Tamandua tetradactyla: one gene and its partner. The protein of the gene in region 1 purifies or fractionates together with the protein of each later gene. This does not show direct contact. Links are inferred from orthologs where the notes say so. Each region holds a gene or a part of one and is shown on either strand. Other genes may lie near its edges.

The links.
Region 2: the proteins of SLC16A11 (region 1) and EMB purify together in Homo sapiens (co-immunoprecipitation; 3 studies listed by BioGRID and IntAct, counting the BioPlex papers as one, with this or other methods). This does not show direct contact. The link is inferred for Tamandua tetradactyla from reciprocal best matches to the Homo sapiens genes SLC16A11 and EMB.

The regions. Positions count from the first base shown.
Region 1 is NC_135332.1:60,933,021-60,944,297, reverse strand, and holds SLC16A11 (monocarboxylate transporter 11), read left to right. Parts: upstream 1-7,314; coding exon 7,315-7,516; intron 7,517-7,717; coding exon 7,718-7,861; intron 7,862-8,003; coding exon 8,004-9,112; 3' UTR 9,113-9,168; downstream 9,169-11,277. Other genes in the region: SLC16A13 (monocarboxylate transporter 13), read right to left, coding at 9,572-9,771, 10,372-11,109. UniProt on the Homo sapiens protein: Proton-linked monocarboxylate transporter. It catalyzes the transport of pyruvate across the plasma membrane.
Region 2 is NC_135335.1:96,412,396-96,424,770, reverse strand, and holds the start of EMB (embigin), read left to right. Parts: upstream 1-7,840; 5' UTR 7,841-7,898; coding exon 7,899-7,953; intron 7,954-11,144; exon of another isoform or gene 11,145-11,181; coding exon of another isoform or gene 11,182-11,188; intron 11,189-12,375. UniProt on the Homo sapiens protein: Plays a role in the outgrowth of motoneurons and in the formation of neuromuscular junctions.

The DNA of each region.
Region 1 (11,277 bases):
GAATTCCATTCAGGGCTGGGAGCGTGGAAAGGGGAAAATCCCACTCTGTAGAAGGACAAGAAAAGGTACATGTGGTGGCAGCGGCGGCAAGTCACAGCCTCTTCAATCCATGTGTCCTTCCAGATGGTTTTGAGACTGTCCAGGGCTCAGTCATGCCCCACCCCACTCCTCTCAGGACCACATGGGGATTTCTTCCTCGGAGAAAGAAAACAGTCACTCTGCCTACGTGGCTCCCAAAACCCTGACAAACACATGTGAGATCCTCCAGGAAGTCTCGTTTAAACCCCTGCTGCTGCAGGAAAACCTGTTATCGGATGCCCCATCCTCCTCCCACCATGGCTTCCGGTCCTGGTTGACGTCACCTCGGTGGGAAATAGAGATTCTGGCCAGGCAGTGCCTCTACAGCCACAAGGGCACATCTGGGGGGTTTGCCAGAGGATGTGCCACTAAGAGGCTGTGGCTTCTAAGTCAAGTCCTGAGATCCCTGGGGAAGCTGAGCCTGGGGAAGAGCAGACACATGGGCCCAGAGATCAAAGGCAGCTGAAAAGGTGGGTAGGGAAGAGGGGAAGCAGCTGACACCACACCCAGCTCCTTCTGGTCTTACTACCTCTCTTAAGACTCAAGGAGCACAGGAAACTCAAGGAGAGATTGAATTGGGAGTAGAAAGAGGTAGGCGAGGAGGTGTCTGCTTATGGCCAGAAAATGGGATGAAATGAAATGGAAGGGAACCTACATTTATAGGGCACCCCCCATGTGACTAGAATTGTGCTGGCTCCTTTCCATGCTTCATTTCACCCAAGTTTCACCCACAACCCTTTGACATATCACTCTTCTCTTTAAAGATACCTAGAAAGCGTTGGAATCGGGACTCAAGGACTCTGCTCTTAATTCACCATGTCCAAGCTGCTTTTGCAGGACACACACACGCTGCTGTCTGAATTCAAATCCTATCCCCGCCCTAACCATCTGTTTTTAGCGGGCACTTTGGCCTGCCTTGCATCTGGACCCCTTCCTTCATTTGAGAAATCCCCCACCTGATTGTTTCTGCTGGCAAGCAGAACCCAGTTCCTGCTGGAGATGCTGCAAATACTAGGTGCTCGCTTTCCAACCAGGCTGAAAGCCCATGACCAGGTCCAGGTGGTCAGCGCCAGTGACCCTGGACTTGGATTTGTTTGCTGTTGGTACAAAAGGCAGAGATTGTTTCTGAGCAACGGCGAGTTTCCAGGCCCAGGGGTCACAGAGGGCCAGCAGCGACATCTACTGCCCCCCGCGTCAGCAGTGGCCTTAGCCATTCCTTTGGGCCGGCTCTAGTCCTTGCTCACGCCTGTTTCCAACCTAGGTCTGAAGTCCTCTTGGCCACTTTGTGACTTAACCAGAATCCTAGAGTAAATCATTTTTTCTCCTTATATCAGTTAGAGTTCATGCCCATGGCTTACAACTAAAAGCCTTGACATAAAGGCTGGCCCAAGTCCTAGAACCAGAAACTCCAGGGAAGCCACGACTGGATGGTCAGACACACAGACTAGGCTGAGACCCTGACCAAGCCTTCCTGCTCGGTCCCCAGCCCCCCTGCCCTGGAGAACGGACTGTCCGGAGAGGTCCAGGAACCAGCCCCTGCAGACTGTCCCATGTAACAGGACTGGGAGGTGTGGGTCACGGTGGAGGGAAGGGATGGAAACTGGATTGGACGACGTCGTGGGAGAAGGACTTTGTAGAGGGGGTTAGAGAGAAATTACATAGCCTTGAATCCAACCGTAGCTCCAGCCTCGCCTCATCCTGCTCGGTGCCAACCTCAGCCCCATGGCCAGCCCCCATCCTGCCCCACTCAGCAAGCACTCATCTCAACCCCAAAGGCTCAGGGGACTCAGTTTGGTTCTCCAGTCATGTGTAGTCATCTGAGCTGACTTGCTCCCACACACCGTGGGCACCCCCACCCCCCGACCCATAACAGCGTCTCAACAAATGTGCTCCCCCACCCCATCTTAATTAGTCACTGACCCACAAACCCTGCCCTCTGTGCCCTCACCCCTTCCCAAGTTTGTTCTCCCACTTTTCCAGGCCTAATCTGGGCTTTGCTGAGTACTACAGCCTGGTTTCAGGGTGAGCTGTGGAAAGGGAGGATTCTGGAGGTTGAGGGGTCGGAGGCTGCTCCATTAGGCACTTGGAAACCCACATCACCTGGACCAAACACTGCAAAGCCTTTTTTTTTGAGTGCATCGGAGAGTGCAATGTTTTGCGTGTGATGCCCGAATGCTTCTGTCCCAGCCACCTTCTGCAGAGGGAGCCCCCTGGTGGGGTCACTTGGGAATGGCTGGGCTCTGCTGGGGGTGTCCCCGAGGCCCTGAGCCCAGACTGCTCTCCACTCCTCCGGGCCTGCAGACCCTAGAAGGCCCCAAAACTGCGCGGGCAGGGCTCTGGTGAGAAAGCCCCAGAACAGTTTTTTAAGCGTTCACGAACACAGACACACTCCTGGCTGCCGCGGTCCCCGGAGCAAAGTATGCCCTCTCTTTTGATCTCTCCAAAGACCCTTTCCGGGGTCAGCGCCATCTTCTGGGGCTTCCTCCATGCGGGCGGGTATTAAGGGTTTGGGTCCATCAGTGATCCTTCTTGTGATATTGCCACATTCCCTGGGGCACTGGGCTCCAAGTTCGCTCATTCAATGATTTCCTTCTTCAGTATTTCCCAAATTCGGTGATACATGCTCACCTAACAAACACGTGCCTGGTGTTCTACATACCAAGCTCCATGCTGGGTGTCAAAGATAACAGATCAATAATGCAAGGTCCTACCTCCAGGGCACATGGTGCTGGGGCAACATGGGGGGCTTGGGTGAAGAGCAGAAGACAAATGTGGATGACCTGTCTTCAGGCTGAAAACTACTCTGATGGCCGATAACACAGGCAGAGTACAGGCACCTAATGCAGACCAGCAGTGGGCATGGCAGGGAGGACTTCCTGGAGGAGGTGATCTAGGACCATCGGTAGCTCACCATCAAACCACCCACATTAACTCTGGTTGATGGCAGTGTTCCAGGGAAAACAAACCCTTGGAATAAATATGTATATCTTCCTAGAGAGTTAAATGTTTTCTTGAAGATTTGAGTGATTAAAATAATTTTTCTATGAAAGCATTTTTAAATGAAAATATGCCATCAAAAACTATTTTGAGGTAGAATGGAGTAGGGTGCAAAGTTCCACATGAGTTTTCAGTGTAAAACAGGGTATTTTAAAGACATTGTCCTCTTCAAGTGGGACATGAGTACTCTCTCCTTTGTGTTCAGGCTCCAGTATTAGAGAATGGAATGTCAGTAGAAAATTTTGAGAAGCATCAATTTCTGGGAAAACATCTAAATCCCTTAACCTGGCCTTCAAGGCCCTTCATGATGAGACTCTCTGCCCCGGCAGCTCCGTCCTACACTGCTCTCCTACACACTCTGTTCTTCAAACAGCAGCTATTTACAGCTCCCCAAATAATAAACAACATGCTAAGCTGGTTCATGCCTTTGTGCTTTTCCACAGGCTGCTCCCTTTGCCTGGAATGCCCTTGCCCACACATCCATCTGGCAAACTCTTACTCATCCGTCAAGACCCAGCTCAAGGGGTTCCTTTTCTGTGAAGCCTTCCTAGAAGCCCTCAAGCAGAGTGAGTATGTTCCTCCCATGCACCACTCTACAGTTTGTGTTCTTCTCCTCATATTGAGAATTCTTTCCTTCGTGTGACTGTTTCTGTGATTTGATTGTGGGAGCCTGCAGGAGAGACTGTATTTTAGTTGCATTCACATTCCCAGCCCTAAGCATAGCACCTGTCCTAGTAAATGTCTATGAATACTCTGTATGAAGGACTGATGAATAAAACTTATTTTTACTCCTTTCTCCTCTCTTGCTTTTAGTGATGACAGGGAGACCAGCATTTTCCTGTAAACTTTAGAAAATGCCAAGGAATCCTGCAAAGGATAGGCTAAGCCTACTTAAAATTAGGCCTAAGAGTCACCCCCCAAAGAACCTCTTCTGTAGCTTAGATGTGGCCTCTCTCTCTTGGCCAACACAGTAAGCAAACTCACTGCCCTCCCCCTCTCTACGTGGGACATGACTCCCAGGGGTGTGGACCTTCCTGGCAACATGGGACAGAAATCCCTAGAATGAGCTGGGACTCAGCATCAAGGGATTGAGAAAATCTTTTCGACCAAAAGAGGGAAGAGTGAATGAGACAAAATAAAGTGTCAGTGACTGAGAGAGTACAAACAGAGTTGAGAGGTTATCCTGGAGGTTATGCTTACGCATTAAATAGATATCACCTGTTTAGTTAAGGTGTAATGGACAGGCTGGAGGGAACTGCCTGAAAATGTGGAGCTGTGCTCTAGTGGCCATGTTTCTTGAAGACAATTGCATGATGATATGGCTGTCACAGTGTGACTGTGTGGTGGTGAGAGCCTTGCACCTGATGCTCCTTTTGTCTACCTTATCGATGGAGAAGTAAAACATATGGATTAAAAATAAATAAATAATAGGAGGGACAAATGTTAAAACAAATGTAGTAGATTGAAATGCTGGTGATTGGTGAAGGGAAGGGGTAAAGGGTATGGTATGTATGAATTTTTTTCTGTTTTCTTTTTATTTCTTTTTCTGAATTTATGCAGATGTTCTAAGAAATGATCATGATGATGAATATACAATTATGTGACGAAAGTGAGCGTTATTGATTACATAACAAGAACGGAATGATCATATGATAAGAATGTTTGTGTTTGTATGTGGTTATATATCATAAATAAAAAATAAATAAATTTAAAAAAAAGAAAAGAAAATGCCAAGGAAACTACACACTACAAGAAAAGAAACCAGAAAATTTTCATTTAACATTGTTATAGCTATTTCACATTGTATTTCCCATGCATTTCAACTGAGAACACCCCAGATCAGTGTGGTTCTTTGACTTTGAAACCTTAGTAGAAATAGCAAGGTGAGGGAAGGGCAGAATCTTCATAATCCCCTAGCAAGTCACTACTATCTTAATCCTCATTTTTCAGAGGAGGAAACCGAGGCACAGGAAGGTTGGGTAACTTGCTCATGGCCGTACAGTTAATACATGGCAGAGCTAGGATTCAAACCCAGGCAGTTTAACTGAGGACTCCGTTCTCCCAATCTCTACACTGTATTACCTCCATGTGCAAAAGACACAGCGATGGGGACTTGGGGAATTTGAAGTAGACAAAGAACCCTTTCATAACCCATCACCCCAGTCCCATGCTCTGGGATGCCATTCTGGGATTATAAGTATCTGAGAAAGTACCCCGCATCATTTGGTACAACTCCCAACCCCAGAGGGACCAGTCTCCTCTTTGACTGCCCTGCAGTTCTGTTTCACCATGGAGAGGGAGTGAGTAGTTCTTGTTGGCCCTGATCAGCTTGGAGCAGAAAGCGTTCTTAAGAAGCAGGCCCCCTGCACCCCTGGGTGGCTGAGGACCTGCTGGCTCCACCTCCCTGGTGCCCTTTCACAACTTCAGGCTGGGGAAACTGTTGGGGCCACTTTTCTAGGGTGTACTTGGCCTGACCTTACGGTCAGGGTTTCTGTATTTATGGGTTCTGTATTTATGGGTTCCTGTACCCCATCCAGGGCATTTCAAGCAGAGAGGACACATAAGAAAAAGTTTGGCATGTCCATGGAGCAAGTGAAAAGCTAATGGCTGAGGGGAAGGAAGGAGATGGAATGGAAATATAGCCTGGGTCTACTGTTGATTGTAAAAAGCCTTATACACAAAGTAGAGGCATTTTATTTTTTCCTCCTATAGGCCCCAACGGGGATATGGAAAGCTAAGCTGTAGGTATGTTCAAAGTTCACAGTTTCACCATTTAAGAAGCTGCTTTTTTCTTTTCTTTACTTGCAGACACTTTCTCAACAACTGGGAACACTGCCATCATGTGGCTGTCTGCTGATACAGACGCCAAACTGTAAACTGTCAAATCTTCTATAATCATCTGATAATTTAAATCAAAGAACACATATTGTGACACAAGAAGCTGTAAAAAAGATACTTTTATAAAGTTTTTCAAAAAATCAACACCTGGATACAATTCCCTGATTTCTTACCTTTTTTAAAAAATTCTAAACTCAAATTGTTGGAGATTCTAATCTCAACAATTTCTTTCCCATGACCCTATTTTAGAACCGCAAACTCTCTCTGGCTCTACAACAGCTCTGCTGTTTCAGGGCAGTTGGCATCAAATAGTCTGCAGGCCATTCCCTACAACTGTGGAGATTCAGCTGTGTGGTCCTGCAGTTGCACAGACCGGAGTTCAAATATGTCTATCCTTTTAGAGCGGGGTGACTTTGGGCCAATGACCCCACCTCTCTGAGCAGCTCCCAGCAGCTCCGTCCTACACTGGTCCTCATCCATACAATGGCACTACACTTTCTTCAGAGGGTTATCGTGAGGATGGGAAGACCGCATATTTAGGGAATGCCTGGCACAACTCAGGGTCTCATAATAAGGGAATGCCTTTCCTCTTCCTTCCCCTCGGTCCTAGCAGGCAGGTTAAGGTTGAGCACAGAGCAGACGCTCAGTGGAAATCCGATTTGACATCCGAAATGCACCTGCTCGGCAGTCACGTTCCCTGCCAAGGAAAACTACTCACCCCCTCAAGGTTTGGGGTGCCACGCCTATTTTCCCGCGTGCTGTACAGCCCCCGGGGCTTGTCTCTGACTCGGCGGTGCGCGGTAGGTAGGCAGCGGGTGCGTGGGCGGGAGCCGATCGGGGCGGGGTGGCATTCATTCCTCGCCGCGGCCTTTCCGGGGCCTAGGGGTGTGTATATGTGGCCAATTCAATCCCCGTGGGACTCGGCGTCTGGTCTCACCTGCGGCTCTGCGGATTGGCTGTCTAGACTCGCCCCCGCCCTCCGTACCCCGGGCATCCTCAGGTGGCTCGGGCCCCTGCAGTGATCCCTGTTTACCGATAGAACCGCTCCAAGTTCGGCTCAGCTCTGCGCTCGCTGCTCTCCCAGCCCCGCCGGCCTGCGAAACCCGGCGGAGCCTCGCCACCCCCCCCCCCCCACACACACACACCGCCCGGAGGGGTCGGGTAAGGGGGAAGGCCTGAGTGTGGGAGGGGGAGGCCCAGGCCTGGGAGGGCCGGGTGTGCCCCGTCCCGGACTTTGGGCGGACGGGGAGGTTCCATCCTCAGGCCTGGTTCTCACTCCCCCCGCCCCCGCCCTGTCGTGCTGGGGCGGGTGACGCGTCCACTCAGGGACGCCAGGTCCCCCGCGGACCCACGGCCCGGGAGACCTCACTCCCAGGTGTTTCCCCACCCCCGCAGACGACGATGACCCCCAAGCTGGCCGGACCCCCGGACGGGGGCTGGGGCTGGATGGTGGCGGCCGCAACCTTCGCGGCGAACGGGCTCTCCTACGGGCTGCTGCGCTCCCTGAGCCTTGCCCTCCCTGACCTCGCCGAGCACTTCGAACGAAATGCTCAGGAGACTGCGTGGGTCAGCGCCCTGGCCCTGGCCGTGCAGCAGGCAGCCAGTGAGGGGGACCCCGAGATTGGGGGCGGGAACGGCGGGTGGTGGGGTCGTCAGTGGTGAGGAGGGAGACCCGCCTGCTTGCCAGACACCCCGAGCAAGGGTCACCGCCAGAACTTTAGGCCAGGCAGACAGCCAATGAGAAGTGCCCGGGCGAGTTGGGGGTTCCAGGGGCGTGTCTTCCGTTAACCCTGCCCCCTTCTAGGCCCGATGGGCAGCGCCCTGACCACCCGCTGGGGGGCGCGCCCCGTGGTCATGGTTGGGGGCGTCCTCACCTCGCTCGGCTTGGTCCTTTCTGCTTTCGCCGGCAGTCTGCTGCACCTCTACCTCGGCCTGGGCCTCTTGGCTGGTGAGGAGGAAGGAGTGCCCGGTCCTTAAGGGTGAAGGTGGCGGATGGGAGCTTGGCGGGGCCGAGTGGGGAGGGGCCTCCCGCGGAAGCCAGGCGCAGGCTCTCCGGCTCGCGCCCCTCACCCGGTCCTGTCGCTTCGCAGGCTCGGGCTGGTCCCTGGTGTTCGCCCCCGCCCTCGGAACCCTCAGCCTCTACTTCTCCAGCCGTCGAGTGTTGGCCTTGGGGCTGGCGCTCACCGGCAACGGGGTCGTTTCGCTGCTCCTGGCGCCCTCCGTGCAGTTTCTCCTTGATACTTTCGGCTGGCGGGGCGCCCTGCTCCTCCTCGGCGCCTTCACCCTCCACCTCATCCCCTGTGGAGCCGTGCTGCGACCCCTGGCGCTCCCCGGCGACCCCCCGGCTTCACCCTGCGGGGCCTTCGCTGCCCTCGGCCTGGATCTCTTCACTCAACGGCCCTTCTTGATCTTTGCTCTGGGCATGCTCCTGGTGGGAGGCGGGTACTTCGTCCCTTGCGTACACTTGGCCCCCCACGCTTTAGAGCGGGGCCTCGGGGGTTACGGGGCCGCGCTTGTGGTGGCGGTGGCTGCGGTGGGGGACGCGGGCGCCCGGCTGCTGTCCGGGTGGCTGGCGAATCAGGGCTGGGTGCCCCTGTCGCGGCTGCTGGCGGTGTTCGCGTCTCTGACCGGGCTGGGGCTGCTGGCGGTGGGACTGGTGCCAGTGGAGGGGAGCAGCAAGGGTTGGGGGGACCCCTTGCTGGCCGCGGCCGGAGCCTACGGGCTGAGCGTCGGATGTTTCGCCCCGCTGATTTTCGGGGTGCTCCCAGGACTAGTGGGCCTCGGAGGGGTCGTGCAGGCCACGGGGCTGGTGTTGTTGCTGATGAGCATCGGGGGGCTCCTAGGGCCTCCCCTGTCAGGTAAGAGCCTGAGCCAGGAGATCCACTCCCAACCCTCCTCTGCCCCTCGTCAGAGGCCTCCAAGTCCCTTGACCCCCTCCTCACCCTGCTCTCAGGCTTCCTACGAGATGAAACGGGAGACTTCACTGCCTCCTTCCTCGTGTGCGGTTCCTTCATCCTCTCTGGCAGCTTCATCTTCATGGGGCTGCCCGGGGTGCTGCCCCACTGCAGTCCAGACTCACCTCCCTCCCACCCTCCTCCTGAGAAGGGGGAGCTTCTCCCTGTTTCTCAGGCCTCCCTCCTCTCCCCAGGAGGCCCCGGCCCCATTCTGGACACCACTTGTTGATCATTTTCTTGTTTGAACCCCTCCCCCCAATAAAAAGAAAATGTCCTTTGGGTTTCCCTACAATCTTCAACTATTAGCCAAACTAGTACAAGGAAAACATCCTACTTAAGTTAGCCAAAAAGGCTGGTTTCTTCTCTGTCTTCAGAGAAGAAACTTAGGAGGCAACACTAGAGATCACATATAAAACAAAAACTTCTTGGTCTTTTATTTTTACAGTTGATTCACAGCTCAGTAGGGTAGGCTGAACTCTCTGATCCTTGAGAAAAGGTCAGGGAGCAAAAGAGAAGAGGTAAGAGTCCTCAACAAAAGAACAAAAGTTGGCCCATACATTCCAGAAGCCCCAGGCCTGCCTGGGGAGAGACAGATCAAGACGCTTAAGGCACTGTGGTTCTGTGGGGACCATGACGGGGCAGGAGGAGAAGACATGGAGCAGCGGAGTTCTGGCTTTCTGTGCCTGACTGCTCCTCCCTGGAGTTTAGTCCTCTCCCAGCCCCTCCTTGGGCAAGGGGATGTTGGTATCCAGTGCCACTGTTACAAGGTCCTGGGGCCTGGGGGTAGGAGGTGAGAAGCAGGGGAAGTGGGACAGGGTGATGAGAACTCCACTCCCTGCAAGGAGAAAGGCCCCAGCCACCACAAAAGAAGCTGTGTAGTTTCCTGTCACATCCCGGAGGTAACCTAGGCCCAAGAGAGAGAGATAAATTACACATGGGGGATCAAGCACATTTTTGAGTAGAGGGAACAAAAAAAAGCTAGTACCCATTACGTTGGAAGAGTTGGAACTCTTAAGGAAGGACTGGAGCTAGAGAACTCTGGTTTCCCAAGGGATCTCAAAAGGTTGATTCTAAATTCCTTCTTGCCTTCAGAAAGGGACCTTCAAGGCAGCCAGTAAGGATGAGGGGGTGGGGGTTCCAGAGGCAACTAAGGCCCTTCTCCAACATCAGTTCCCAGTTAAGAGGAAAATGTTAAGGGTTTGAAAGTTCTGGCATCTTGAGCAATGAGATCTTTGACCAGACAGGGGCCCAAGGAGCCAAAGGAAAGGGAAGACATTGTGGCATACTAAGTCTGGCCAGGGCCATCCAGATCCTCTGAAAACCCACCACAGACACCCTCTCAAGGGTTCCACTTAGCTCCTCTTTGTCTTTGCACTCAGACTTTCCCAGCCCCAGTTTTCTTTGCCCCATTGACCCATTTCAGGTTGCGTACTATACAACACTAGGGAGCAGCATTCAAATACACTATAGTGTAAATTAGTTTCCCTACCCCCATTCTCCTTACCTGACAGTGGAGCCCCCAGCAGCCCTCCAATGCTCTCTACCATCTGTACCAGTCCCAGGCCACAGTATATCCTTCCAGTTCCCACCAGTTCAGGCAGCAGAGAAAAAGCCACTGGGGTCAGGGCTCCAGATGAGAAGCCATAGGCCACAGCCAGAGCCATCAGGGCTTTGGCCGCCTGAGCTACGGGGAACAGGATGAGTGACACCCCTGTCAGTGTTGTCCAGAGCATCAGGAGTCGTGCCACAGGCCATGGTACTGCATCTCCCAGCCACCCAGAGGCCACACGCCCCACGAGGTCAGAAATAGCAGCCACCGAGAGTAGGAAGGCAGCAGCCAGGGGGTCCCAATCCAGGTCCTGGAGATGGGCCACCAGGTGAACATAGGGAATGAAGTAGCCGGTGTTGATCAGGGTGAGGGCCACAGTGTAACGGATGAAGGGGCCATGATGAAGGAGGGAAGTGATTTGGGCCCAAGGGCCACCCGTGGCAGGGTCTTCGGCCAGGGAGAGTGGGCGGAGAAGAGCACCACAGGCCACCAGGTGGAGGGAGAGGGCAGATACCAGCAGCAGGGCCCCACGCCAGGCATAGCGGCTGAGCAGCCACTGGAAGAAGGGGGCAAAGGCAAAGGAGGAGAGGCCCACACCCGTCAGTGCCAGCCCCATGGCCAAGGATCGACGGCGAGAGAAGTAACGGGACAGGCAGGCCAGGGTCGGAGTGAAGGTCAAGGCCCAGCCACAGCCTGCCAAAAAAGAAGAAATGGGGATTGAGGGACCCTCAGGGGCTCAGAGCACCAGACAATTCCAACACTGCCCAGCAGCAGAATGTAGTACTGGCTTCAGAGTCCCACAGACCTGAGTTACAACCCCAGCTTTGACACCTTCTAGCTGTGTGACCTTGGGTATTTTAA
Region 2 (12,375 bases), on another chromosome or scaffold:
AGTCTAAAAATGGCTGTCTTAGCTAATATTTATTATACTATGCAAAAAAAAAATGTCAGAATCTGGACTATCATCTGTCCCTGAATTAGAAAGTCTGTCTTATAAATGGTCCCATCAGGAATTTATTTTCTTGACAAACCTTCCTTCTTTTCTCTGTCACTACTACCTTCAGAGAATCTTTCCTCAATTGTTATTGGCACTTTGTACCTTCTATTGTCATACTGTCTCCCAGGCACACTAGTGTAAGAAATCCAAGTCGACTTCTCAGCCCTACACCTGTGTTTATCCTGCTTTCTGCTACTGCAGATATGGACAAGGGTTAGGGTAAGAGTGTCAAATTCCTAAGAGCCTAGAAATAGAACTCTGAATGCATTGTTTATAGGCAATGTGATACTTGAGGATTTGATTCTTTTTAATGCTATAATTCACCATATCATGGCTTAAACAGCCTCTAAAATTTGGTATGGGACTTCATGATTGTATATAATCTTGCTTCTATGAGGAAATGTATTCTGAGTTCTAAACTTTTCTTTTGTAAATAGTATATGTTATCCTTTCCTAAGTTGTGCTACAATAATTAAGTTGCACATTTATAATGCTATTTAGACCCTTCCAAGATTTTTAAATGCATTAGATTTTGGGAGTTACTGTTCTCTAGAGCAACTATTAAATGTTGTTACTCTTATATTGATGTTTTGTCACTCTTATATTGATGTTTTGTCACTACCTGTGAAAGAATACCAGGTAGAAAATTTCCAGCAATGATAAAGGGTTGAATAGGATAATTCAAGAAATGTGAGTTATTATTTGACACCATCACTCCATATTTATGCAACGCTTTTAGCATTCGGTTCTTTTCCTATGAAATGAAGTTTAGAGTGGAGATGTATTGTCAAAGCACAGAGTTGGGCATTTCGTGTTTTGAAACCCCAAGTAACAAGTCAGTTGCAGAGCTTGGATTAGAACACGACATTCACGCCTGTCCATTTTATACGCCATTTTGTGACTCAGCCTAATCCTTTCAAAGACATGTTCAAACTACATCTGCTTTGATCTGCTGCCAATTTCCTTGAACCACCAACATTAACTGAATCAGCCCCTTGCCAGCTGTCCGTTTTTTTTTTTTTTAAAGCTTTTTAATTTTGAAATACTTTAAACTTTTAGGACAGTAATGAAGATATTACTAACCCAAACAGAAAATTCCAACATATCCTTATTGCCCTAGATACCCAGATCTATCAATTTTAACATTTTGTCATATTTGCCATATCTGTCTGTCTGTCTGTCTGTCTGTCTATCTATCTATCTATCTATCTGGTTTGCTAAAGCTGCTTGGATGCAATATATCAGAAATGGGTTGTCCTTTACAATGGGGATTTATTAGCTTACAAATTTACAGCTCTAAGGCCATGAAAATGTCCAGGTTAAGGCATCAACAGGACAATACCTTCTCTGAAGAAAAGCTCTTGGAATCCAGGACACCTCTGTCACACGGAAAGGCACATGACAGCATTTGTTGCTCCTTCTCTCCAAGTTCCATCGTTTTCAGCTTCTAACCTTGGTGGCTTCCTCTATTAGCAACTCCAGTTATTTTTAAATTTTTCTGTCAGCTCTCTGGGTTTTTTCCTGTCTTTTATCCCCTCATTAAGGACTTGAGGAGGTGGAACAAGATCCACCTTGAATGAGGCGGATCACATCTCAATTGAAATAAACTAACCAATAGTCCCACCTACACTAGGTTTGCACTCGCAGGAATGGATTACAAGAGCATTGCCTTTTCTGGGGTTACTTAATGGCTCCAAACTGCCACACTATCTATTTTCTGAACACTTGAGTGTAGGTTGAATACTTCATGCTCCTTGAAAATTTATTACTGACATGTATATTTACTAAAATGAAGATATTCACTTAGGTAACCACCTAAGTGCAGTTATCAAGTTCAAGAAATTTTTTAGGTGCAATTTTATTGAGATACAGTATATATTCACATACCAAATAATCATCCAAACTGTGCGGTCACTGGTTCATAGCCATACATTTGTCATCACAATTGATTTTTTTTTTTTGTATGCTGTATGGTGGGGGGTCACATTACATTATTTTTCCATGTGAGTAGTCCATTATTGCAGCACCAGTTGTTGAATTTGGGGGGGGGATAAGAAGTACGTGGGCCAGAAATTGAACCTGGGTCTCCCACATGGCAGGTGAGAATTCTACCACTGAACTATCCTTACACCCCCCCCATGATTGATTTTTGTACATTTTTATTACTTCCCCCCCCAAAATAAAAATAAGAATAAAAGTAAAAAAGAACACCCAAAACATCCCATACCCCACCCCCTTTGTTTGGTTTTTTTGTGTGTGTTATTTTTCCTTACTTATCTGTCCATAAACAAGATAAAGGGAGTACAGTCACAAGGTGTTTTTTTCTGCTTGTTTTTTTCTTTGTTTGTTTACATGAACAGGCTCTGGGAATCGAACCCGGTCTCTGGCATGGCAAGCGAGAATTCTGCCATTTGCCACCATTGCACCGCCTAGTCACAAGGTTTTCACATTCACACGGTCACACCTTAAAAGCTCTATAGTATTTTGTCATCTGCAAGAATCAAGGCTATTGGATTACAATTCAGACGTTTCTGGTATTTCCCTTTCGCTACTCCAGTACACCAGAATCTGAGAAGGCATATCTGTAAAATGCATGAGAATAAACTCCAGAATGACCTTTCAACTCTATTTGAAATCTCTCTGCTACTGAAACTTTATTTTGTTTCATTTCTCTTCCCCCATTTGGACATGAAGACTTTCTCAATCCCATGATGCCAGGGCTAGCCTCATCCCCACAAGTCGTGTCCTACTTTTCCAGGGTGATTTATACCCCTGGGAGTCAGGTTGAACTTTCCCTTCAACCTGTAGAGCTCGCTTTTGAACTGTTCCTAGGGCCAGTCTAGTGGTGACAAAAATCTCTCAGCTTTTGTTTATCTGGGAATGTCTTAATTTTTCCTTCAGTTTTTAAGGATAGTCTCACTGGATATAGAATTCTTGGTTGGCAATTTTTTTGCTTTCAGCACTTTAAACATGTTATCATGCTGACTTTTTGCCTTTATGATTTCCAATGAGAAATCAGCATTTAATCTTATTGCAGCTCCCTTGTGCATGACACATTGCTTCTCTCTTATAGCTTTCAGAATTCTCTCTTTATCTTTGACTTTTGACAGTTCGATTATAATATACTATGGTGTGGGTCTTTTGGTTTTATCCTGTTTGGAGTTTGGTGAGTGTCTTGGATATGTACGTTCATGTCTCTTGCTAAATCTGGGAAGGTTTTAGCTATTATTTCTTTGAATAGTCATACTACCCCTATCCATCTTTCTTCTTCTGGGATGTCCACACTGTGTTTATTTGCATGTTTTATACAGTGTCCCACAGGCTCCTCAGGCTCTAGTCATTTTTCCTTGTTCTTTCTTTTTGCTTCTCAGACTGAATGATATATTCAAGGTCTTATTTTTTCTTCTGCTAGCTTCAATCTGCTATTGAACCCCTCTAGGGAATTTTAAATTTCTTCTATTGTGATCTTCAGCTCTGTTTGGTTCTTTTTCATAGTTTCCAACTCTACATTGCTACTTATTTGTGTTCATCTCTCAGTTTCCTGATTTCTTTTATTTTTATGCTGCCCTTTAGCTCTTTGAGCATATTTAGAATCATTTTTTAGACCTCTTTTGTATGTCCCCATCTGGTTCTCTCATTGATGGTTTCTAATTCTTTAATCTCCTTTGCCTGGGTTATCACTTCCTGTTTCTTTGTATGTTTTGTGACCTTTTCTTGAAACCTGGTCATTTTGTCATTTTACTGCACAATTGCTGGAATTTAGGCTCTGAGGCATCTGTTCCTTAACTTTGTACCCAACTAGTATTGTAGCAGAGCTTACTTTGATTGCCATGATCTAACAAAAAAAAAAAAAAAAAAGAGGAAACAAAAAACTGCTTTTTCAGTCTTTGCAAATTGACTTGTGTGACTGTGCTCCTTTATGGCTTATCCATATAATCAGTTTATAGAGAAGCTCCAGGTGAAAGCATAAGGGATTTCCTGATCCTTTTTGTGCATTCCTGTAGCCTTAGGAATTTCCTGTTTACATAGTTCCAAATGTCCTTAGTTACCTAGGAAATAGTTTCCCCATGGTACTTGGCATTGCACTGTATATAGCCTAGGCAGGCCGACTAGAGTGTTCTCCTATAGCAATCTATAGCAGACTTCCATGAGCTGCCTTGTACAGGCAGGTGCTGTGATGGTGAGTCTCTTAGGCCAGCATCAGACAGACTGGTCCAGGCATACATGCTTCCAGTGTGTGTGTGTGTGAAAGAGTGGTCCTCTGGAACCAGGACCAGGGATCTTCACTGGGCAGGCAGGCCAGCTCCATGCCAATCTAGTAAGGGGTGTGGGAGGATTTAGCCAGGGCACCATGACAGCCTACCACTTTTACACATCCTTTTACTTGTTTCAGCACTTGCCCTGTTACTACAAAACTTTAACTGTTTTCTGGACCTTTGAGAAAGATGTTTCTGCCAGCTTTTGTTGGTTGTTCAAAGCTTCTGTGAGGGGATGGAACCGTGAGGAGTCTCACTCCTCCTTCTTGAATGGGGTGGAGCTCTGCCAGCCATCCTGTTACAAAAGGTTTACATTTTCTATTAAAAAATATCTCAATTAAATAATGAATTCCTTATTTCTACCATTCTTTTCCCTCCTATAAACTGCCTTGATTTTTTGATTCAAGACATTTGTGTGTATGGCCTCTAAAAGGGATTTTTCCCAAGACAACATCCAAAGTTATTCATGTGCCTTTTTTTTTTTTTTTGGCATGGGCAGGCTCTGAAAACTGAGCTTGGGTCTCTGGCATGGCAGGCGAGAATTCTGCCACTGAGCTACCGTCGCAACACCCATTCATGTACTTTTTTAGTGGAATTGGGAGCTTGACCAAGATTAATGCTTTAAAGGGAATGTGAAGTTAGTATCGGTGGTGTCTGGTTTAGGGTCATCTGAAATTATTTTGGATACGTGAGCTGGCAATTAGAGATGGACACAACAGCTAGTATATTCTGGAACTACCCACATTTCTTTGCTCCTGAAGCTTGCTTTTCCTTCTCCCCTATTCCTTCAACTGCTATAAACTTAGATTTTGCCCAAGGCAAGCCTAGACCCCTTTTCTCTTGTTCTAAAGCAGGTCCTGGTGCTGGGCAGTGGGAGAATGGCCCCAACCTCAGTACTCACCTCCTTGGCTTCATCTTCATCCCCATTTCACTTTATTAGTTCCTCAAAGATGTAAATCAGGCTTGTGGCCCATGCGTCAATTTGTACAAAATGCACAGACCAGGTATAGTTAATATGTGAATGGGTGCTACTCTGAAATTTTAATGATGCAGCCACAATTTGTCGGCCTAAATTGCTATTATCATGATCTGTGTAGCTCTCTAGAGAGGACGTTTACTAAAGTTTATATTCCTCATTTGCATCTAGCATCCTGGTGCTGCATAGGGTTTAAGTAATATGAGAATAAAAATGAGAGAAAACCCTTTTCTTTAGCTTTTGTCACACTTTGTTACTGGTGGTATGCATCATAATAATAATAAGTATGTCATAGAATTTCAAAAGGTTTATGAAGCAGAGTTTGATGTGTACCTTATGACTCCATTCTGTCCTATAGCAGGCCGGGCCAGTAAAGGAGAGATCCCTAGCAGGGAAACAAAGATATCTAAGCTTGTATTTCATAAGCTTCACAGATGAAATGATATAGTAGAACAACTCTTTCCTTCCTATCCATGCCTTCCTGGTTTCGCATCCATAAATGAGTAACATCTACTTCTGCTTCATCTTTTGAGATATTTTCTCTTTAATACAAACCTCTAATGAAGTTCTGCCAAAGAATGGATAAAGGAATTTTCATTAGGAAAAGAATGTTGATGGGTGACATTTTGGCTGTGTGTGTGTGTGTGTGTGTGTGTGTGTGTGAGAGAGAGAGAGAGAGAGAGAGAGAGAGAGAGAGAGAGAGAGAGAGAGAGAGAGAGAGAGAGAGAGAGAGAAAGGGAGGGAGGGGAAGGGCATGAGGGTAGGAGAAAATGGGTGAATGTGTTAATATTGGATGCGGGTGGGCTGTGTTCCACTGATCTACTGCAGGACTCACCTGAAAGGAGAAATAAGGGGAGACCTAGGCGGGACTGCCTCAAGCTGCCCCACAATGGGGCTTGTTGAAATGTCAATGAAAGAGGCACTGAACACCAAAGTGATCAGTCCAAAGCTTGAATTAGGGAACGTACAGAGAGCTGCAGCTACCTTGTGACAGACAGTGAGACTTGTTCAGTCAGGTATGCGTGTATTTATGGCAACTGCTCTATAGATTATATATGGCTGGAGAAAAAAAGTGGCTAAATATCAAGGGCTTGGGTGCAAATTTTGGGAAAACATCCTGGTATATGTTCTTATCTCAAAACAGTATACAGTTGGAGTGGGCAATGTTCAAGGTTATTATAGTAGCCAAAGCTTGGTATGCTTCCAGGTAGTTATGGGGGGAGGGGGTTATGGAGGGCAGGGAGGTGCCAAGGGTGAGGCCAGGTAATATCAGTCAGGTAATAGATGCTTTATGTAACATACAGGACGGAAGAAAGGTTTTATAGCTCAGTGGGACAGCCCACTGACAGCCCAATGAGAAACTCAGGACATATTTTCCTTTATGTTATTGTCAGGGGTTAGTATTCTTTAGCTACGTTATTAAAGGATTATTTGATGGGAAAGTGCATTTCAACTTCCAAAGGAAAATTGGAGGGGATTAAACCTTTGGAACACAGCCTAATGAAGACATGGATTATGGCTGGGCAGAGTTTTTTAATAAACAGTATTGTGAAAGCTGTCTGTAAAGTATAAAGCTGAAGCAAAAAAAGGGATTGCTAACTTAGATAACATTTTTCATACATAGAAAAAGAATGAACTGGAAATCTAATCTTGCACTAGGAATAATTTTCTGAACAGAATATTAGAAAAATGAGATAAAAATCCCAGTTTTAATTTAAATTGAATGAAGTGTTTAAAGCATGCAGCCAAGTTGACAATAATGTGCCTTTGTCCCCCACTCTGATGTGTTTGATAATGTTGGGGATACTTTTGTGGGCGGTAAGTACGGGTGCTCTAAAGTCAAAGGAATGGAAATTAGTTACTACTGTTAAAAAAAGGAGCTTTGATGAAAGTGGGACAGGCAGAAATGGAAACCTTGATTCCTTATTAAAAATTTACAAAAGAAAAGTGACAGAGCAAAATAGGAAGTCATTTACAGGTAGAGGCTGTGCCAGACTGAAACCATAGCTGGAAAACAAGTACTGGTAGAACTCTCACTGGGCATAATCCATCTTGTCTTCTCTGCCTTCTAATGCCCAGTACTATCTGGTTTTTCAATGCTCTGTAACATAGTTTCTCTGTTCTTCTTTTCATTGTTATTTGTGCTCTCATCTCTACCTCTTCATACATAGCCTTCCCTTTTCTGGCACTCTTATTTAGTCACGTAATGTCTTTAGTTCATTTATGTTTCATAAAGAGACTTTAAATTATGGGATATGACAATGAAAAAAATTTGTAAAAGCCACTTGGTTTCACCTATCTATAAGTAGGGATTTTTACATAAAATAGGCGTAGAAAAAAGGGCAAATTTTGTCACATTTTAAAACCCAATATATTTATGAATGTCTTTGGTGAATATGAGACTTTTTAAAGTCTGAAAACATTATTTTTCACAGTGTGCAATGACATTTTAGCTGTCGCAGACTGTTTTTAGGTGATCATTTAGTCCTAGTGAGAATTTGTAACCACATGTTCTTTCTCTTACAGATGTACGTTCTACAGTTCAACCTGCCAGAGAAGAAATGATGGCAAAATATTCTAACCTTTCCTTGGAGAGTCACAACATATCACTGACGGGTAAATGCCTCATCTTTCAATTAATACAATGCCAGAAAAAGATCTTGTTTTGTTTTTAATTGAGCCACTGATTTTTCACTTGCAAACTACTCATCCCTGCTCAGGGTCTGCAGGTGAAACACAATTGTCCCTTTTACAGGTATAAGAGAGTATGATGGAAATCTAACATGGTTAAAGATGGTGTTCTCTGGGTGCAAGGAAGAGGGAGATATTCCAGATCTGGTAGGGCCTTGAAAGGCTCTCTAGAAGAGGGGGCTCATGAGAAAGGACAGGTAAATTTTGGTTTGCAGATACTTTTATGTTTTCATCAATTCCTTCTGGTATGTCTTTAAAATCACTGCACTGAGATAATTCATATATCCACTGGGAGAATTTTAGCCAGAGTACAATTAATGATGACACTGAATAAGTCAGTGACCATGTTACAGAAATACAAGCAAAGAACTCCAAAATAAAACAGCTGCTGGTGAAGCTAGTGTTTTCTCTTTCACAGCTTTAGATTCCAGTGTTTCAAAAGTTATCTCACATTTCTTTAAATCACAAACAGGAGTTAATCTGTTCTAGCAACAATATTAAAATAGAAATATAACTAGAAATTAAATTATTTAAAAAATGTTTGTTAGTAACTTTTTTCCCCAACTATACATCCAGTGTTAAGAGCTGTTTCTTTACTTCCATTTGATGTGAATAAAAGGTGTCTCTTTTATTTGTTTGTTTATTCTGATGCTAATGAAACGTTTGTACTGAGCTTCTTTTAAAAAATTAGTTTTCTTTTATTGAATTTTGTGTTTTTAGTACATTTTTATGTACTTATTTAATTTTTTTGCTTCTAATATTATTGTTAGAGAAGTTATAGGTTTAAAAAACAGTCATGCATAAAATACAGGATTCCTATATACTACCCATACCCAACACTTTGCAATGGTGTGGAAACATTGGTTATCATTGACCATAGCAGATTTTTAGAATTGTACTATTTTTTTTTAACAGTAGTTACCCTTAAAATTGAAGAGAGATGATTAAAATCATACTATTTTCTATTATCCAAAATTTACATTAGCTGTATTTTTTCCCATGTACTACCCTATTGTTAATACTGTTAAGTTGCGGAAGAAGTTTATTGAGCTAAGTGGCATGCATGGGAACAGAACTAAAAGGAAATTACTGCTCAAAGCAAAGTGGCAGGGACAGTTTATATACCTGCCTAGAACAAAGAAAGGGTATGGGGGGGGTGGGGAGGGAGAAGCAAGGGGGACGTGAGCTATGCGAGTTGTTTATGGCAGGATGTCCTTGGGTACAATATATCTGCAAAAGCTGCCCTGGCAGAATGTTTGTGCAGGAATGGGCTTAGCTGGTGAAGAGTTACAGACTCGCTAGTGTCAGCATGACTGCTCATCACAATTTCTCCTTTCCCATAGAGGCGGGGGTCTTAACTAGCACTGCAAGGGATCCTTGGCACATCAGCCTACCTCAGCTGCATTTTGGTTCTTCTTTGTAGAGTCCTGAGTAAAGTAGGAGTTTAAATAAAGCTATTTCTTTTTCTAACTTCACTACATCTTGCATTAATATCATACCTTTGTTATAATCCATGAAAGAACATTCTTATACCTGTATTAAAACTATAGTCTGTCATCTAAAATGGGATTCCCTGTGTTGTACAGTCCTGTGCTTTATCTTTAAATTTTTGTACTAGTAACATGCATCCTAAAGTTTCCCCTTTTAGCCATATTCACCTCTATGGTTCAGTGCTGTTGATTACACTCAGACTTACCATCACCACCATTCATGTCCACACCTTTACCGTTACTCTAAATAGAAATTCTGTACAAGTTAAGCATCAGATCTCCATTCTGTAATCTCAGTTTATCTCCTGGTAACCTATATTCTATATTGTAACTCTTTTAGTTTGCTTATTATAATTAGTTCATAACAGTGAGATCATATAATATTTGTATTTTTGTGTCTGGCTTATTTCACTCAATATAATGTCCTCAAGTTTATCCATGTTGTCACATGCATCAGACTTCTTTCCATTTTAGGGCAGAAAATATTCCATTGTATGTATATACCATATATTATTTATCCATTCATCAGTTGATGGACACTTGAGTTGCTCCCATTTTGGGCAATTGTGAATGATGCCACTATGAACATTGGTGTGCAAACATCTGTTCATGTCCCTGCTTTCAATTCTGCCAGGTATTTACTTAGCAGTGGGACTGTCAGATTATGCTGTAATTCTGTACTTAGCTTCCTGAGGAACTGTCAAACTGTCTTCCCTGGTGGCTGTACCATTTTACATTCCCGTCAGCAGTGAATGAATGTTCTTATTTCTCAATGTCCTCTACAGCATTTGTGGTTTTCTTTTTTTTTTTTTTTAATAATGGCCATTTTAGTGGATGTGAAATGCTATCATCCTATGGTTTTGATTTACATTTCCCTATTTGCTTGCGATATTGAGCATTTTTGTGTTTTTTAGCCATTTGTATTTCCTCTTTGGAAAAATGTCTATACAAGTCTTCTGCCTTTTTTAAAATTGAGTTGTCTTTTTATTGTTGAGTTGTAGGATTTCTTTATGTTTTAGGTAGTTAACAATTATTGGATATGTCTGATAATGGAAAATTTTTCCAAATATTTTCTCCCATTGAGTAGATTGTCATTATACTTTCATGACAAATTCCTTTGATGCACAAAAGTTTTTCATTTTTATAGGGGTCCCAATTACCTAGTTTTTCTTTTGTTGCTTGCTTTGGGTGTAAAGTCTAAGAAACCATTGCCTACCACAAGATTTTGAAGATGCTCCCCTATATTGTCTTCTGGAAATTTTGTTGTCTTGGTTCTTATATGTAGGTCTTTAATCCATTTTGAGTTAATTTTTGTATATAATGTAAGATAGGGGTTTTCTTTCATTCTTTTGCATATACATATCAGTTCTCCTAATGCCACTTGTTGAAGTAAACTGGTGTGAAAGTATATTTCTGAACTCAAAATTCGATTCTATTGGTCAATATATATCCTTTTGACAGTAGTATGCTGAATCGACCATTATAGCTTTGCAATATTCTTTCTTTGGTATGCTATACGGTGGGGTCACGTTTCATTATTTTTCCATATGCGTATACCATTATTGCAGCACCATTTATTAAATTATTTGTTTGTTTCATTGTTTGTTCTTTTTTGGAGGTGGGGGGAAGAACATGGACTGGGAACTGAATCTGAGTCTTCCGCATGGCAGGTGAGAATTCTACCACTTAACTACCCTGCGCCCCCTGTAATATTCTTTAAAGTCAAGAACTGTGAGTCCTCCAACTTTGTTTTGTTTTTCAGGATGTTTTTGGCTTTTCAGGGTCCCTTACCTCTTCCAAGTTAATTTGATAATTGGCTTTTCTAACTTTGAATAGTAGGCTGTTTGTTTTTTTGGCTGGGTGTACTTTATTGATGGTACATGGTGATGGTGCATCCCTTTCTTCAAGCATCTGAGATGGAAGCTGTGGAGGATGGGTGATTCTCAGTGTTGGGCGATCGAGTTGGGAAAGGGCTCTCCAGCAGCTCATGGTCTCTTTTCCTTCATGCTGTCACTGGGGCTGGGAGTCCAGGGACTCTTAATCCTTGAAGGCCATGAAGACATAACGTCTACCATCCTCTTGCTTTAGCCAAATTCATTGTCATACCAGGAAATGAGCTTAATGAAGTGGTTGTTGAGGGCAATGCCAGCCCTAGTATCAAAAGTTGAAGAGTGGGTGTCACTGTTAAGTTCACAGGAGACAACCTGATCCTCATTGTAGCCCAAGATGTCCTTAGGGGGACCTCTGACCCCTGCTTTACCACCTTCTTGATGTCATTGTACTTTCTCCAGCCATGATGTCAGATTCACAATGAACACATTGGGGGTGGGGATGTGAAAGGCCATGCCAGTGAGCTTCCCATTCAGCTCTGGGATGATATTGCCTTCCACTTTGGCAGCATTGGTTGATGCAGTGTTCTCAGCACCCTATGGTGCCGAGAATTTTACATTCTCCTGGAGGGGCCATCCAGTCTTCTGGGTATCAGTGATGGCATGGACAATGGTCATAAGTTCCTTCATGATGCCAAGGTTGTCATGTATGACCTTGGCCCAGGGGGGTCAGGCAGTTAAAGATGCATTGCTGACAATATTGAGGGAGCTGTCATACTTCTCATGGTTCATGCCAATCACAAACATGGGGCATTGGCCAAAGGAGCAGAGATAATAACTTCTTTGGCTCCACCCTCCAAGTGAGTCCCAGCCTTCTCCATGGTTGTGAAGACACCAGTGGACTCCACAACATTTAGAACCAGCATCACCCCATTTGATGTGATGGGATCTTGCTCCTGAAAGATAGTAATGGGATTCCCATTGATGACAAGTTTCCCATTCTCAACCTTGATGGTGCCTTTGAACTT